Drosophila melanogaster: one gene and its partners. The protein of the gene in region 2 interacts with the protein of the main gene of each other region in a pairwise test. Each region holds a gene or a part of one and is shown on either strand. Other genes may lie near its edges. The genes, in order: CG16972, CG8460 and msi.

Region 1 (7,755 bases), 5.0 Mb from region 2:
ATCAAACAGTTGAATTCATATGCCTAAAACTACGATAGCTTAAGCTAGTTTTGTTTTTCTTTTAGAAAAAATAAAAAGAACGAAAGAAACAAAAACACTTATTTCAAAATAGCGCATAATAAAGGCTACTACTCTCCGACTTACTTACGACTAAAATGATTGTTAGGACTACAGGGCTTAACACGCAACTTATTATAGTTTCCTATATTTGAACTATACTTGGGCAGACAGCCAAAAGCACATTTATAGATCGGGTATTCTGGGTGATATTCAAACATGGGTTTGTGTGAAAAAAAAAAACAAAAACTTTGTTCAAGGCCGAGACTCTCCACATTTCTAGTTCCGCGACACAGGTCTACGCCGATTGGGTCTGCTGGACAGCCAATTTCAACATGTGATTGGCGATACTATCTACAGTTAGGGATTGCGGGGACATCTCGATCACTTGGGACTTGTGGCGGGCATAAAAACGCTGAGCTCCATTGATTTGCGGCGCCAAATAGGTTAGCTGTCTCGGATCGGCGGCACTTATCCAGGCTTCGTCGTTCGATGCTGACTTGATGATCAGATGATCACCGGTGTTAACGCCCTCCGTGGCATCGTCGAATTGCGGCGATGGTAAGCGGTGGACCTGCAGCAGGCGGTGCGAGGGCGTGGCATGGGAAAGCTCACAGGCGATCACATGCACCTCAGACGGTTTGTTTGGTTCTTTAAGCAGCTGATAAAGCACCAGCATGCTGCTTTGGTCCAAGTCGAGGCTAGGATAGTGCGTAGCAGCCAGGCAACGGCCCAGCGGCCGGCCCAAGTCGTAGTTCATCAGAGTATCGCCGCTGCGATGATCCCAGACGGTGATGCGCATCTGGCCGTAGCCGATAAGGCGATCCTCTGAAAGGCACTCAATGTGACGCAGCTCGTGGCGCAACTGCTTAAACTCCCGTATGGAGGCCAGCGTATCCAGCGTGGGCGTCAGTGAATATTTGCAAATGCCCGAGCGCGACTTGCCCATCACCAGTTCCTGCTGCCATGCCATAACGAAGTAACGCGAATCCGCTATAGTTGTGTATATGACATGCGGCCATTCGCTAAATAACGAAAGTTGTAGGTTACGTCATTGAATTTATGCATACTGCGTGATAGTCCTCACCAATTGACAGCATCCAAGTGCACAGAGTGCATACGGGGTCGTAGTTCCTCCTCGCAGAAGTAATACACATTCACATGTAGCGAGGTTAGCTTCACCTCCCTCTTGTGATGGTCCAGCGGCCTGCTTCGCATTTCCAGGTACACCGGCGTCGAATTGTGCACGCAAATGCGGCTGCCAAACGGCGTAAAGATCTCTTTCTCTGTAATGCATCAAAGAGGCTAGAAAGATTCGTAAAGTGTATAAATGATCATAACCCACCGCTAGTCAGGCGCCGCACTCTGCCCAGGTAAACCCATCGCGGGCCCATTTTCAACTCCTGCTCGACGTCTTTGGGCTCGCGCGAAGGTGTTTGAGGCAGCTTTGGAGATGGAGATTTTCTGGCGCCATCAAAGGAGGGATTATGTCGCGGTTGATGCAGCACGTTGAACACTTTGGAGTACTTCCAGAAGGTAATGCAATTCTCCTGCAGCACAATGAGCTGTTCCAGCTCGTAGTACATATAGAGAACCTGGCCGTGCTTGGCAGAAAGTGGATTTGCTAGCGTCGCGGATCCCTGACTGAGTCGCAGCAGGCCCCCAGGAGGGGTGGCCAGGACTAAGTCAGCTGGATTGACTTTTCCGGCTTGCTGGCGAGGGCGATGTGGCTCCGTATTCGGTGGCGGTGTTGTTGGGGATGGCGGGTAAATAAGCACGGGCTGTGCATAAGGCGATTGAGCGACGGAGGGGGAATGAACGAAGGTCTTGTCAGCGGCTTCTTTGGCTGTGGAGTTGACCAGATGGCTGTGTGTAGGCGCGAATGTGTTGGGCACTTCTGGTGCCAGGTCAGCGAGCCTCAATACATTGGCATTAGGAACGGCTGCCACAGGCTCAGTCACCCTTTCAATATTCGAAGGCAGTGACTTGGCTCGTGCTCGCTTGGTCCGTTTAGTAAGGCGACTAGATTTCATTGCACTTGTCGTGTCAGTTTCAGTCTCCTTGACACCTTTCATCTTTCGGGGAGAGTTTGGCGGAGCCAATTGCTGTTGCTCCAAGCGATGTTGCTCAGGAAGACTTTTATCTGCCGGCTTCTTTAACGACGTCCGTGCTGCCTTGGGCATTGGAGCCTTTTTGGTGGTTTGTGCTGCACCGCCAGCCATCCGTTTCGATCGTCCCTGAGCCATTTCGTCCGACAGGGCGTAGCTCTTGAGCAGACTAACCTTGCGGCTACGAAGTAGCTTCGAATTAAGATGCGTGGTGGAGCGGGTAACCAAATCGCGTGCACGTGCTTCGTTCCCGAGACTGGATGCACCCATTGTAGTGCGGCGTCGTGGTGTAGCGGCAACAGGTTTGGTGGCTCCATGGGTTTTCCTATGTTTTGATTTTTTGGGTGTATCAACTGGTAAGGGGGCTGGAGTTTCCTTATCTGGACTGGTTATTGTAGGACTTTTCTTCGCTGGCTGGGAAATGACAGAAGGATGCGGCGCGCTTACGTCACCAAAGCCGCCGATTAAGTTCAAGGGCGCCGGTGAGATGTGAGACTCCTGCCTGCTGTGTGATGGATTCGGGGGCGAGGCATTGCTTGTAGCCTTAATAATATAAATTGATGGCTTCGTCTCACGCGCCTGGCGCAAGCGTTGCTGCATGCTCTCCAGCAGCTTGGATTGGGCAGGTGCGGCAGCCTCGAAGATCTTAGTAAAAGCCGCCTCAACGGACTGAACCCGACCCTTCTCAGACTCATTGTCTATCTGATGTTTCTGATAGCCGTCGCCATCAATGATGGATCTATGACGTTGCGGCTCCTGTCCTTTGAGCGATGGACGCCTCTCTACATCCTTTAAGGACTTGGAACTGGCTATAAAGTCGGTGGTTTTGGGTGACCTCTTCGTAGAGCATTCTTCCTCTTCCGCAAAATAAGAGTTGTACAAGTGATTCAGTTTTCGCTTATGCTCTGCAGGCATTTGAGAGTTGAAATGGACATCCGCATCCCCCGCCATCCTTGAAACGGATTCTGATGTCTGAGGCGGGGAGGGTTCTTCTTTATCGGTGCTAAGCTCACTACTTGTGGTCAACGGTATCTTCTTGTCCTTATCCTGCTGCCTATCTCGCTCCCTTTCGCGCCGCTTGCCACGCACATCACTACGCATCCTGTCCAGTTGCTGTTGTGGTCTCACCCGCAGCGATCGGCGAGGGATAGTGCTGTTGGCTAGTTCCCTCATTGCGGTAGCCACGGCATTTGCTGTTGACAGTTCGGTGAGACCCAGATAGTTGCAGAATTCCTGTTGCTCATTCGGATACTTAACGTAAGGCCCCTGATTCCCTTCCATTTGCATCTCTGTAATTTAAATTAACCAATTAAATTTGCAATAAAATACAAATAAAAAGTCTTACGTTGGGGAGCCTGTGGCAGTTCCTCGTAGTGATACATCTGTGGTTGTTGGTTCATCTTTTGCTCCATAAACTGCTGTTGCTGTTGCATTGTTTGCACCTGCTGACGCATAACATCTAATACAGCTTTGGTTAGTTGTTGGTCTTCTGATGGCCCACGGTCGCTTAAGTTCGCCTGCATAAAATCAGTAAGTCCTGCCGGAGCAGTTGGACAAGGTTGAGCATGGGATAAGGATGCGTCTAAATTCGCAGCGGATGAACCCGCCGTTTGAGTAAGCGCGCTTCTCTCCAAGTCTGCTGTAGATGTTTCCTTGGTAAGGTTCCGCTGCTCGAAATTCGGTGAATCCGTGTTCTTTATGTCATCAACAACTGGCAGCACTATCTCTTCTTCCTCCGGCTGTTGATTATCCTGTAGCTCCTCTTCGGGTATCAATGTGGTGACAGAGGCTTTTTCCATGCCGACCACCTCGTAGCAATCGTCGTCATCATCATCTAGCACAATTGTCTCCTCGGTGGGCAGAATGTGCAAATAGCGACGATACACCGGCCGTTCCGCCGACTGAGAGCTGGCAAGCTCTTGAGTGGATTCGTCTGAGGTTTGCATGATTTCACGGCTGATCTTCTCCATATTCCGGACCAGTGCTTCACGGAATTCGGCAAAGTTAAGCTGTTTGAGTGATGCGGTAACAGCCTCATATTGCTTGAAGGCAGCTTCAAAGCCTTCCACATCCTCGACATCGGCCCACTCTTCCCTGGGTGCCGTTTCCCAGTTGGAGACTTTCTCGGCGGGACTCATCTGCGGCTGAGCCTGACAAATGCTTGCCAGTCTTCGATCCATAGCCTCTCCATGGAGCGTATTCTTCATCAGCGGCGGATACTTTCGCTTCAGTGGAGCCACTTTGGATGGAGAGCGGCCGCCCGTTAACTCATCCTCATAGTCGTAGTGGTCACTGGCGTTGGGCATGGAGGATGAGCTGACGGGAAATTCCGTGGGACTGCTGTGTTCGCGAAGCAACTTTCTTTGCGGATTATTTGGCAGCGGCTCCTGTCCCTCGAATGCTACAATGTCGATAGGCTGGGCTGGTTCTTCCTGGATGACTGCGTCCTCGCATTCTTCATCGTCGTGGTCCTCCAGTTCGTGATCATACACCTGACAAATATCTGGGCGTTCCTCCTCCATCGGTGTATCGTCTAAGAATGTGGCGTTTTCGTTTTCCTCCGGAGCCTCGTCGTCGACCAGATCCTGGTGCACTAAAGGCTGTTCTAGCGCTGCATCACTAAGGTACACATTGTTTCCAGCCGCCAATCGTGCCTCGGCCACACCCATATCCTCCACGACCTCCTCGATGTAGGCAGTCCCATTGAGACACTCATTCGCATCACTCTCCTCGGACAGCAAGCCCAGCAATGCACCGGTACCGTTTCCGGCCATCATGATGGCCCTGGCGAACTCCTGCTCGCATGCCACTCCCTGGGTAGCTACTATGATCTCACAGCAGTGTTCTTCTCCTAAAACGACCATGTTCTCTCCATCCACAGCCTCATAGATCACACACTGCTCCCCTTCTTCGGCCACCTGAAGTTCATGTTCAGCCTCATCATTCTCGTGGGACAGCATTTCGAACTGGTCAACATTGCCATTTGTCAGCAGCATGCCGGGGCTTAGTGCAATGCCCGGATCCTGGACAGATTCGGGTGAGTCTAAAAAACAAGAAAAGTATGCGATTGAGTGAGTTTACCATATTAGATATTTCATATTTTCAATTGGGATAAATGTTCATAATCAATTAAATGGAAGAGATTTCCTTGTATAGTTAATGGAACAGATTAACAAACCGTTGATCTCGATGACCTCGTGGCTGCTGTACGAACGTTTTGCCGGTGTGCAGGTGGCCCATACTGGGGCTTGGTGTGTCTCTTCGGTCATCATCATTTGCCGGCGAAGTCCGAATATTAAGGGTTCATTCTGAGGGACGAAACTGGAAGACGGCTGCTCCTCCGGCCAGCCCTTGAAGCCGCTGCCACTCGAGATAAAGCTGTGGGTGTCCGAGTCGTCGGAGATCACGTGCAGGTTGCTGTCCACGGCGGGGTCCAGATCTGCTCCCGTCCTCGAGGATCTGGTGACAGATGCAACAAGATCCGTGGGATACTCCCGATCCTCAGCCACGTCCGATGCGTCGCCTGGAGCTTCGCTGGCCGTATCTATCTCGTCGCCTTCCAGCGGCGAGTACCGGTTCAGTAGGTGTTCCTCCGCCGCTACGTAGGCCATCAGGCTGGCTTCTCTTCTGGACATCGCGTTGGTACGGGGAATGGGATTGGGATTATCTAGCCCTCGTCGACTCGTTTAGTAATTGTGGTAGGATTTCTTGTAAATTTAGCACGTGAAATTTAAAAAATATACTTGATGCTGTCTACAAAACAATGCCCGAACTGACTGTGGACGATCATGATTACATTATCATGGCTTGGTCGGTTTCCTTCGATTGTTATTTTTCGTATATCTGCGTGCTGTGCGTTGTATATTTCTTATTTGATAGGCTTAATATTTTAAGTTGCTTTATCCTGTGTGACCGTGGGAAACACCGTAGTATTATCTCACATCGCCATGGCCAATATGCCTCTTAAAATACCATCGGTATTATTTTTACAGTGGGATCAATCAATAAAATATACCTTTAAAATGAAAAAAAAAATTTTAATTGTGAATGTTATTAGTAGTGTTCGTTGTTTAATTCTATGACACTTTTTTTTTAATAATTGTTGTGACAATATTTACATTTATTTATAAACAAAACACTTTGTTATATCCTAAAATATTATACATTTCATTGGGGTGATCGACTCATAAGGATTTAATAGAGTTAATACCCTTTTAACGTATAATAATACAGATTTGTACTTGCTTAATATAAAAGTTCTAGCTTAGTAACATAAAATTTGCCAATTTAAAGTTATTCCCAATATATCTCGATCAGCTGTTGATGTTTACAAAATCCGCGTTAGCTGGTATTCATCGCACCAGGCATATGGTATATTTGGACAAACACCGATGCGGCCACTCTGCTCTCACGGTACTCGAAATTGTGAGAAAAGAAATGAAAGAATCTAAAAAAAAACCCAAGCTAAACACACCGCACTTACGCCCCAAAGAAGTTCCCATGCGCCCGCGCGCTGATAACGCAAGTCTGAGAATCTGAGACCAATTCCGCTCCGAGTCTGAACGTGAATCCGAGTCCGAAACCGATAACGAAAACTGAACTGAGTAGCTCGGTCGTGAAATGGGAATTGATATATAGCGGGCGTCGTCGTAGCTCAGAACAAATAACTTACAGCTCTCGAAGCGTGAACGTCGCTGTCGTCGAGTTTCCGCCTTCAAAACGAGCACTGAAAACAGAAACATACTCTCCGGAATCTAATGTTCGCCCGTTAGCCGGATTCTAAATTAAAATTAAATTAAATTGTGAAAATTCAATAAGTCAACGATGGAGGCAAATGGCGATACCAGCGCCTGCAATGGGTATTCGGACAAGCAGCGGAAGGATGTGCGCGTCTGGTGCGATGGATGGTGAGTCATCTACATTACATTTAGGGGCCTCCAGGAATTCGGTCCACAATGTCTAACGGTTCTTAGGGCAGCCCATTGCGTCACGTCGTTACTCACCGCTAACGGTAAAGTGAGTCAAAGCATAACCATTCCGCGTCGGTGCCATCGATTCCATGCCACACCACGGCCAACCGAACCCTACTATTTCAATTCCAATTTGGTTTCCAATACCAATAACCGTAATCAGTCGACGATAAACTAAACCCCATTTTTAGGCGTGCTAAGAAGCGTCCAGGGTTCCTCAATTGATTAGCAAATCTTTGTGAAACGGTGCCGTCTCGCTGCCCGTTCCAAATATCCACCCATTGCCGTCGTCCGGCTGAAATGTCTACATAATTCAGGTTCAAGGTCTCTCGGATCCGAAATGTCCATATTCTCCACGCTTGACCGGGACATTTGGCATTATATTTATATTTATACGCTATGCAATCTATTTATAATTGTACGCTTACAGTGGCTATTCTAAAACAGATTACTCAGAGAAAATGTTTAATTTGCCTTTTCCGGCGATACTCGCACTCTTTATGGCGCTTAAGCTAACAACAATACATATATCCCAAATTAGTTTGCACAATAATTAATTGCTATATGTGATAAACCGGGTGTTCGGTTCATCTAATGCATCTATGTATTTTAGATCCGCA
Region 2 (4,162 bases):
ACGTCATGATTTCCCGCGACACTGATGAGCGGAATTCCCGGTGGTAGGTGGAACATCTTCAGGTAGCGCCACACATATTCCTGGAACTGCTTGTCGCTGACCATGTCGCCCTCGTCGAACAAATCGCCCAAGACGAAGACCACGTCGGGCTGGAACAGACGTGATGCCGCCTGAAAGGCCCGCGTCATGTGCCACTCCCGGTAGAGCTTGTCCAGCCAGTGACCACGATGCGGTCCCAGCAGATGCGGATCCGCTAGAATCATTGCCCTAAGCGGATCGTCCACATACTTCTTTCGCTTTATCTCCGGCCACTTGCACTTTTGCAGCACCACAAAGTCCGCCACATATTCGCAGAAGATCAGGGCGCACAGCACGATCACAAAGCAGGCATAAAGAAAGCGCATTTCAGGATTTCTCACCGGCTAAAAAAATAATAACAAATTTATTCTAGAGCTGAAAAACCATCAGCGATAGTATCGTTTTAAACGAGTAAACGGCCCGATATAAATTTAAAATATTCGATAAATTAAACAGTGCTGTCAAGCGGCTGTCGGTTGACTAACAAATTGGCGCCTCATTTCAAAGTTGGTTACTAAAATTGTAAATTGGAAAAATTATGAAGCATTATGGCTTATATATAATTTCCTTTATTTGGAATAGGTATTGTGCATTGCATGCTGCTTACAGGCTAACTAGAAGAGATCGTAAAAATAGTTTAGGCCTTGGCCAAGTTCCCAGATTGAAATGCCAGTGCCCAGTTCCTGGGCGAGCTTTATTCGCTCGTTTATGGAATAGAGAGTGGGATAAAAGACAATGTGGCGACCGTCATCGTTTCTGAAAGTAATGATATTCATCATCTTCGCCTTACACTCTGCATACGCTGCAGTAGAAAACTCACTTGATTTCAAAGAAATTTTCCACATCCCGCTCATCGTAAGTTAGGTGCTTCTTCACATGCCTGACTAGATCCAAGTACTGGGAGAAGGTGATGGGTCCACCTCCATCGGGCGTGTAATCATTCCCGTACATATTCAGTCCCAACAGAATTTTAGCCCTCTTAGCCGTCATATCAGCGCAACCTTCTGGAGCTATTGTCTCCACAGCCTTACGGACGAAATATAATGGTGCATTTGCTCCGGGACGCTGCACGCTGGAGAAGTCGTAAGTCATCAGAGAGAAGGCGTATATGTGCTTGAACAGCTTGTCCATGTGCTTTTCTCCAAAAAGGTGGCCTGTTTCCTTGCGGAATGGAGGAATGACCAAAATGAGTCGCAGCTGTTGCTTTTGTAGTTCTTTGGCTAAGTGACGTAAAAGAAATTTAAATTATTAATAACAAACAAAGGGTTACAACGCATTAAGCTCACCCATTTGCAAAACCAGTGTGTACAGAATTTTGTCATCTATGCGTCCAGCTAGCTGGGACCACACCTCCAGGACGAGTCCATCGAAGCCATTATCCTTGCAGCACTTGATCAGCACGTCGTTGACTTTCGTCCTCTCCTGGGCGTCGCTAAGCAAGAGCTTAATGTCCCGATCAGTGAAGTGATCGAATATAAAACGGGGAAACACTGAAATCCAAGGAAAGTGAGTTTAGACTAACGCCAGCGGGTATCATTTTCTCATACCTTTAACCGTTCGCTGATTGTGCACCTGTTTACCCTTTCTCCGGACATCGGTTAGCCAACCCGCATCGATGTCATGGGTTCCGGCTACGGCATAACGATCTCCCTGCTTAACAATCTGCAGCCAAACCGGCGAGATAATGTCGAACTTCTTGGCAAATATCTTAGCCACATCATAGCCATGCGAGTTCCACTACAAGCAAAGCAAACAATAGATTAATACACATGCACAAAATGTGGGAGTACGTCCTCTGCTTACTGGAGTCACATAGCCCAAGGTGGTGCCATTGAAGCGTCGCAATCCCGTCTCCTTGAAGTACCCGCGATGATTGCTCACGATATCCTTGGCCAGGGGCTCGGGACTAACCAAGCCCAGATCGAAAACATCTTGGTCTTGCGGACCGCCACGCAGAGCACTCTCCTTGGTCTTGCTCTTCGATTTGTGGCTGTCCGGGGCGAGGGTTCCGCGGACGGTGGTCAGCAGTAGAAGCAGGAGAGCGACGCGGAGCAGGAGCGCATCAGGCGCACGCATTTCGACAGAAGGACAATCAGGACCACAGCATAAATCGCACAAAAACAAATCGCATACAAAAAAAAAGCCGGCAGCAAAGTGACCATAGCGTACACTAAACGGCAAACGGCATCAGACACTCTAAATGGTCACCCTAAATTGGTAAATAGCAGTGTGCTTCAGAAATTATTACTTGGACTTGACTTAACATTATATTTGATATATTTTATTTTATTATTTATAAGCTTAAAATTATATCACCGAATTATTTCAACTTCAAACAATAACGAGAACTTAATATGTTTCTTAAATTGCGCATCCGATTTAAATCACCCGCTCTGCCTTTAACGATTGGTCTTCAACAATCGATTTTAGCTTAGAGCATTGCCAGATCGCAATGAAAAGCTGCTCAGCTGTTAGAAGCGTTTGACTTTTTTTTGACTTTGATACATTTTCTTAAGCGCAATTGCAATATAATTTGCAATTGCTGAAGAAACAATGCGCGATGTGCCGAAATCGTAAGTATGAAAACATCGAAAATAATCCCATATTAATGGCGAGGATATTTCCACTTCCAGTCTCGGTCTCTCGGTCACAACTCCAGGCGGCAGTTCGGGTGCTCCGGACAGTGGTCGCCACAACAGCTTGGAGGAGATCAATCTGGACCAGTTCCTGAAAACGTCCAACTACGAGGACACGGTGAAGCAGCTGGACATCTACTATGGCATTGGTGAGGATTTATATAACCTTGGAGTCGTCTGTGGGGCGGCCAATTGAGCACCAATTGACGGCGTCTATTAATAAGCATCGCACATCGCGAAATGTCGACGCCCCACACTTGATTGTAAACAGAATCGTTTGTTTATTTGCATAGCCAATTAAGACGCGATAACCGGGTGAATCTAACACTTTCTCTTCCCTCAGTCAAGCGTCAACTGCTGCGATACCAGAGTCCCATCACCGGTTTGTTTCCGGTGATGAGCACCGACCAGGTGGTGGGATCGGTGCGGGACAGTGTGTATTGCGCATCCGCCGTGTGGAGCTTGTACCAGGCGTACAGACGGATCGACGATGACCGCGGAAAGTCCTACGAACTGGGCCAGAGCACTGTGAAGTGCATGCGAGGCATTCTTGAGTGCTGGGTCAAGCAGGCATCGCGGGTGGAGCTCTTTAAGCAGCGCCAGTCCAATCAGCACGCACTGCATAGCAAATTCCAGCTGCACACCGGAGAGAAGATATATCCGGATGAGTTTTACAATCACCTACAGATAGATTGCGTGAGTTCTAGGGGATTTCTTATCGAAGAGTTTTAAAATGCATTGAACTTCTCCTCCTAGGTTTCTCTCTATCTGTTGTTCCTCGTCCAGATGATAACCTCTGGCCTGCAGATCATTTACACCCACGACGAGGTGGCCTTTGTCCAGAATCTAGTGTACTATGTGGAGCGCGCCTATCGTACGCCCGACTTTGGCATGTGGGAGCGGGGCTCTAAATATAACAATGGCACCCCGGAGATCCATGCCTCCTCCATTGGCATGGCTAAGTCCGCCTTGGAGGCCATTAACGGGTGCAATCTGTTCGGCGAGAAAGGAGCTTCATGGAGCGTTGTCTATGTGGACATTGATGCCCACAACCGGAATCGCAGTATTTTCGAAACCATGCTGCCCAGGGAATCAAGCTCAAAGGTTGTGCTAAAATATTTTACTTGTAGTTTGCATCATTTAATTAAAGTTTCAACTTTTAGGGAGTTGATGCTTCACTGCTTCTCACCCTTTCTTTCCCAGCCTTTGCCTCGCATGAAGATCGCCTGGTGGAGCAGACCAAACAAAATGTTGTAAATCGTTTGCGCTGCAAAATGGGCTTTAAGCGCTTCACCCGTGATGGATTCCTCAGCAAAAACGAGGACAAATCGCGACGCTATTATCACTCTGGCGAGCTAAAGGAATTCGAAGGCCTGGAATGTGAATGGCCGCTCTTTTTCATAGCCATGATTATCGATGGCGTGTTCAAGAATAACAATGAACAAATT
Region 3 (4,640 bases), on a different chromosome or scaffold from region 2:
TAAGAGGTATCTCTTAGTCCAGAAGACGTATGACGACTTTTTCTAAGAACATTTTCTTTTTATTCGTTTCAGTCACTTCTCTCGCCATTTCCGAACTAATCGAAGACGCTTTCTGGCAGAATTTATTGCTGCTTCGGCGGGGGCGTGGCAGGCGGTGGGCGGTTAAGATGTAGACGAAATGGAGGCGTGGCAGGGGCAAAAACTGCTCCTTTGACCTGTCTGCCTCAGTCACTGTTGTTGCTGTTGCTATTGTTATATATTTCTCCTTCTTTATCGCCCGAAGCTCTGCAAACAAGTTTCTTGTGTCCCGACAAAAAAGGAACCAACATGAAAAAATGGACCAAACAAAATAAGGGAAAATATATTACAGAAAAAAACTCTTTTTCGCCGTCAGCTGCTCGATTGCAGAAAACTCGTTGCGCTTGTTGCGCGTTTTGTTGTGAATTATAAAGAAAATAAAAAAAGGAGCAAATTTCATGAAATCTTGCTTAGGAATGGGTAGGCCTTTGATGTTTTTAGGCCGTCTAATAAGCCGCTGAAATTATTGTTTTAGATTTTTTTCTTCTGATTTGGGAGCGCCCGTCTGCGATTTTGCAAAAAATTTGTGTAAATTTTGAATTTTGCGGGGGCGTGCCGACATTTGGTAATTGCGGTGGGTGCAACAGGCGACAAAAACGCTATAAAATAAGCTATAAACTGGGATTAAGTCGTTGTTTAACAATCATATAAAAATGGTAAAGGTAAAATAATAATAAAGTGTGTGTTAAATAAAAATTACAATATTACAAGCATTTCCTTCAAATTAATTAAATTAAATTTTTTATTGCACTTAAGCAACAATTTTAAAGTACCGAAAAATACCAAGTAAATACCAAATGATGCTCATTTTCATTTCCCCACTGAAAAAGCCACAGCAACAACACTACGTCGCAGCATACGGGACCGGAAGTTAGAGAGCGCTCGAGTGCGAACGGGACAACAGTATGAGTCCCAAAAGTTGTTGCTGTCTCCCCAAATGGCGTTTTTTGAGCGACTTCGCCGCAAACAACAACGCGCTCTCAGTTTATGGGAGAGAGAGTTTGCTTGTTTTTGTTCCTTCGCTGGTGGTGTGGTGGGGGCGAGTGAACCGCTTATGTTGTGGGTGGTTGTTGCCATCGCATCGCAAGAGAGAGAACGATTCCGCTCTCCTTTTGGATTACCCTGTACTTCAGAAATTCCCAGAGTATATTGCGTTTGCAGAGTATTATTTTAAAATATATTTTATATTATATCTATTTTTTAAATAAAATTCCTAAAGTAATTTTTTAAATTATATTTATCATTGGGAAGTTAAGCTTAGTGTATCTAAAACTTATTGTATCTAAAAACCGGGTATCTGCAAGTTGGAAAACTCGACCACTTGTTTTATTTTATTATGCTTGCCGCAAACGACAAACAACCGAGAGAGATAGATCGACAAAGAGAGGAAGAGGTATAAAAAGCGAGAGGCGGTGAGAGAACTTTTCCGCGGGGGCCGCTTGTACTTGTATCTGTATCTTTCGGACTCAGTTTGCCTGCGACCGTTACAACAGCCAGTTGATTCGAAGCGGAGCGATTCGTGGATTCGTTTTCATCGTGTCGTCGTCGTTTTGTCGTTGATTTCCGTTTGTGCATGCAGATAAAGCCAGGTCTTAACTTGATTCTGGACTGGGCCGAAAATCGAAATCGAAACCGAAGTGGGCTAATGGAAAATAAACAAACAAACAAAGCTTGAATTTTGTTTGCCGCGCATTTAAAGTAATTCCTATTTGTCGCCCCTAGAAAATACAATAATAAGAAAATCTGTTTCTGACATGTTGCATGACTGAATTAAATTACGTGTTAAATTGTTAAGCTAAATGAACAAACCGCATCCATAAAACGGATGCCAGTGCATGCAAATTAATTAAAAATACGATTCGAAATCTCTCTACACATGCATGCACAACCCATCAAGCTTTATTCAAATCAATGACTTGAGCGGCTAAATAAAATATGTATTTCATGGCTATTAAGATTATAAACAAAATTTATCATTAAATCTAAAATCAACTTTCATGGTTTATTAACTAATGATATGTTTAACTAATGAATGCCAAAACATAAAGCAATTTAATTCGCTATGACTAAGAGACCGATAATCCATACAAAAGACGAGTTCAAGATATGTGTGTATAAATAATATAAAACAATGAACTCTCAGCTCGAGATAAAAAGCCCAGTAATTTGACTAAATAAAACATGTGTAATTAAATAAGTGCTTTACTAATAAATTGATACAAAATTCAATTCAAATGGATTAAATTTATATCAAATTTCGATTCGAGATTGGTGAACATTTGTGCACTGGAGAAAACCATCAATTTTTAAAACAGAAAAATCCATTATCAAACTACAAGCTGTGGTTAATGTTTACTGTGGTTGTTGTCGGTGACTAGCTCAGTTTTATCAACAACAACAATTTTGCGTTTCAGTTTTGTGTATTTCTCAACGAGTTGTGTACGATAAGAACTGAAAGGAGACCTAAGATTTGAAGAAAATCAGAAATGGCTCTAGGGAACTAACGATAATGAAATATTTTACTACAATTTAACAAATTGTCGTTATTTAAAAGAAATAAACACGCATAAGCCCGTGTACAGTTCAAAATCCCATGGAATATGTGACAATTAAATTAATTAAGCTTAAACAACAGATACGATAACTGAACACTTTCCAACCGAAATAAATTTGATTTGTAAATTTCACATAAATCAAAGCGAAATAGCTGGCAATCCTTCCCTTCAACTGAATTAAACAATTACTCTTTGTTTCTCAGTTTTAAGCATTCAAAATCAACAAAATGCGTCAGCTGCGAGCTGAGCTTTAAAAGAAATACGAGCTGAGCAAACAATATAAGATAAACACAGAAAGTCAAGTACAGTCAGTGCTCCAATTTTGTAACCCACAAATATATTTTAGGATTTTCCCAATAAAGTAAAGTGCAAATTGTTTAAAACGACAGCTCAAAAATAAGTCATGGTTTTTTTTTCGAAATATAAATAAAATAGTTTCTGTTCTTTACACTTTAATGACAGTAAGTTAGAGCCTATAAATAACAATTACTTGGAAATACTGAATTTAGTTGCATACATGCTACAAAGTAAGCTCTTAATTGTTTTTTTTTTATCATATTTTTCGACGTTTATAAGAATACGTATTTTATGAAAATCTGCAAAGTTGCTTAAAAAACCTTCAACATTTCCATGTTTGAAGGATAGATAATGGAGTTATCGTTGAGGGTGTTCCACTATTCCAGAGCTCACTTTAAATTGGGGGGAGAACAAAGCGGGCTATAAAGACGCTCGTTCGGCGACTCAGTGTGCTGGCTATATGCGACTATATGGCTATATTGTAGGCCTATTGTCTGGGGAAACTGCATGGAACTGCATATCGGAAATGATTATGGGGGGAGTACCAGCTTGATGACGGTAGAGGCGCGATAAAAGACACACAAAAGGGGGGAGAAAAAAAAAGGTTGGTACGTCATTAACTGACTCAGCCGCATGTTGCATCCAAGCTTTTTTTGTTGCTCCTTTTTCTGCTCAGTATTCACGTCCTGCAGAGAGAGTCCCAAAATCCAGAGAGAGAGCGTGGAGAGCGAGCGGAGAGGGAGAGCGGCAGAGCTTCAGCGCAGCACGGCGAAATTCGCTGAGCTCGCCTTAAACAGTTCGCAGCCGCTCCTTCACCGTTAGTTAAAAAAAATTCCTTGCCCGAAGCGGAAGGATTGTCGAATTTCGTGGATTTTTGCGAATATTTCCCGTGTAATTTTCGTCACGCGTCGTTTATTTGCACCAGCGAGTGTGTGTGAGTGTGTGTATAACGTACTGGTGTGTGTGCGTGTAAGTGACTCAACTCGAAGACATTTTTGTTTCTTTTGTCGAGGGACGCTTCTTTGGTTTTTTATTTCTCTTTCACATATTCGCATATTCTTTTGCGGCGAATTCAATGACGTCGCAGAAATTTGTTTTTATGCCATGAATTTATGTTTCTGTATGCGTGTGCATGTGTTTTTGTTCAAGCAAATCGATTAAATTTATGAAAAATTAATACGAAAACCGGCAGCGAACTATACAAAAACTATGCAAGCGATCCAAGACTCAAATGTTTTTAATTAAAAGCCGTGTGTGAAATATTATCAAACCGCAACGGCAAAAACAACAATATTTTATCACCATTTTGAGAGCGGCACGCACGTGTGTGAGTTCTTGAGTGTTAGTGTGTGTGTGTGTGCAGTGGCGTGTGTGTATGTGTCGAAAAAGCCGGCAATGGCAAAAGAGAATTCAGAATTCAGCATTGAAAGGCGAGAAGCAAAAGGCAAAAGCGAATGCCAAACAGCGAAAGTAAAAGCGTAAAGCCAAAACAAAGAAATGCCAAAGAAAACCCAGAAAGCCAAAAAAAATTGTTAAAATTAATAAACAATAATGCAAATCAATGTTATGGGAAATGGAAAAGCGCTTCAGATACAAATATCAATGAAAACACAAATATTGACAAATACATTTAATGTAAACATTAAAAAGTTGCATGACTATATACTTTTACTAATAAAATAACATAATGCATTCTTAGAAAAAATCCAT

What was found.
Region 1: the proteins of CG8460 (region 2) and CG16972 interact in a two-hybrid assay, tested with the Drosophila melanogaster proteins (one large-scale study listed by BioGRID).
Region 3: the proteins of CG8460 (region 2) and msi interact in a two-hybrid assay, tested with the Drosophila melanogaster proteins (one large-scale study listed by BioGRID).

The regions. Positions count from the first base shown.
Region 1 is NT_033779.5:13,197,201-13,204,955, forward strand, and holds the start of CG16972 (uncharacterized protein), read right to left. Parts: upstream 6,096-7,755; 5' UTR 5,801-6,095; coding exon 5,344-5,800; intron 5,209-5,343; coding exon 3,511-5,208; intron 3,455-3,510; coding exon 1,403-3,454; intron 1,344-1,402; coding exon 1,145-1,343; intron 1,083-1,144; coding exon 356-1,082; 3' UTR 1-355. Other genes in the region: Pect (phosphoethanolamine cytidylyltransferase), read left to right, coding at 6,990-7,072.
Region 2 is NT_033779.5:8,195,285-8,199,446, reverse strand, and holds CG8460 (uncharacterized protein), read right to left. Parts: upstream 2,255-4,162; 5' UTR 2,155-2,254; coding exon 1,882-2,154; intron 1,816-1,881; coding exon 1,626-1,815; intron 1,569-1,625; coding exon 1,365-1,568; intron 1,299-1,364; coding exon 899-1,298; intron 835-898; coding exon 693-834; 3' UTR 634-692; downstream 1-633. Other genes in the region: PGAP5 (Post-GPI attachment to proteins 5), read right to left, coding at 1-404; CG8475 (uncharacterized protein), read left to right, coding at 2,632-2,651, 2,712-2,863, 3,058-3,410, 3,471-3,818, 3,878-4,162.
Region 3 is NT_033777.3:25,514,574-25,519,213, forward strand, and holds the start of msi (musashi), read left to right. Parts: upstream 1-1,544; 5' UTR 1,545-1,776; intron 1,777-3,749; exon of another isoform or gene 3,750-3,899; intron 3,900-4,640.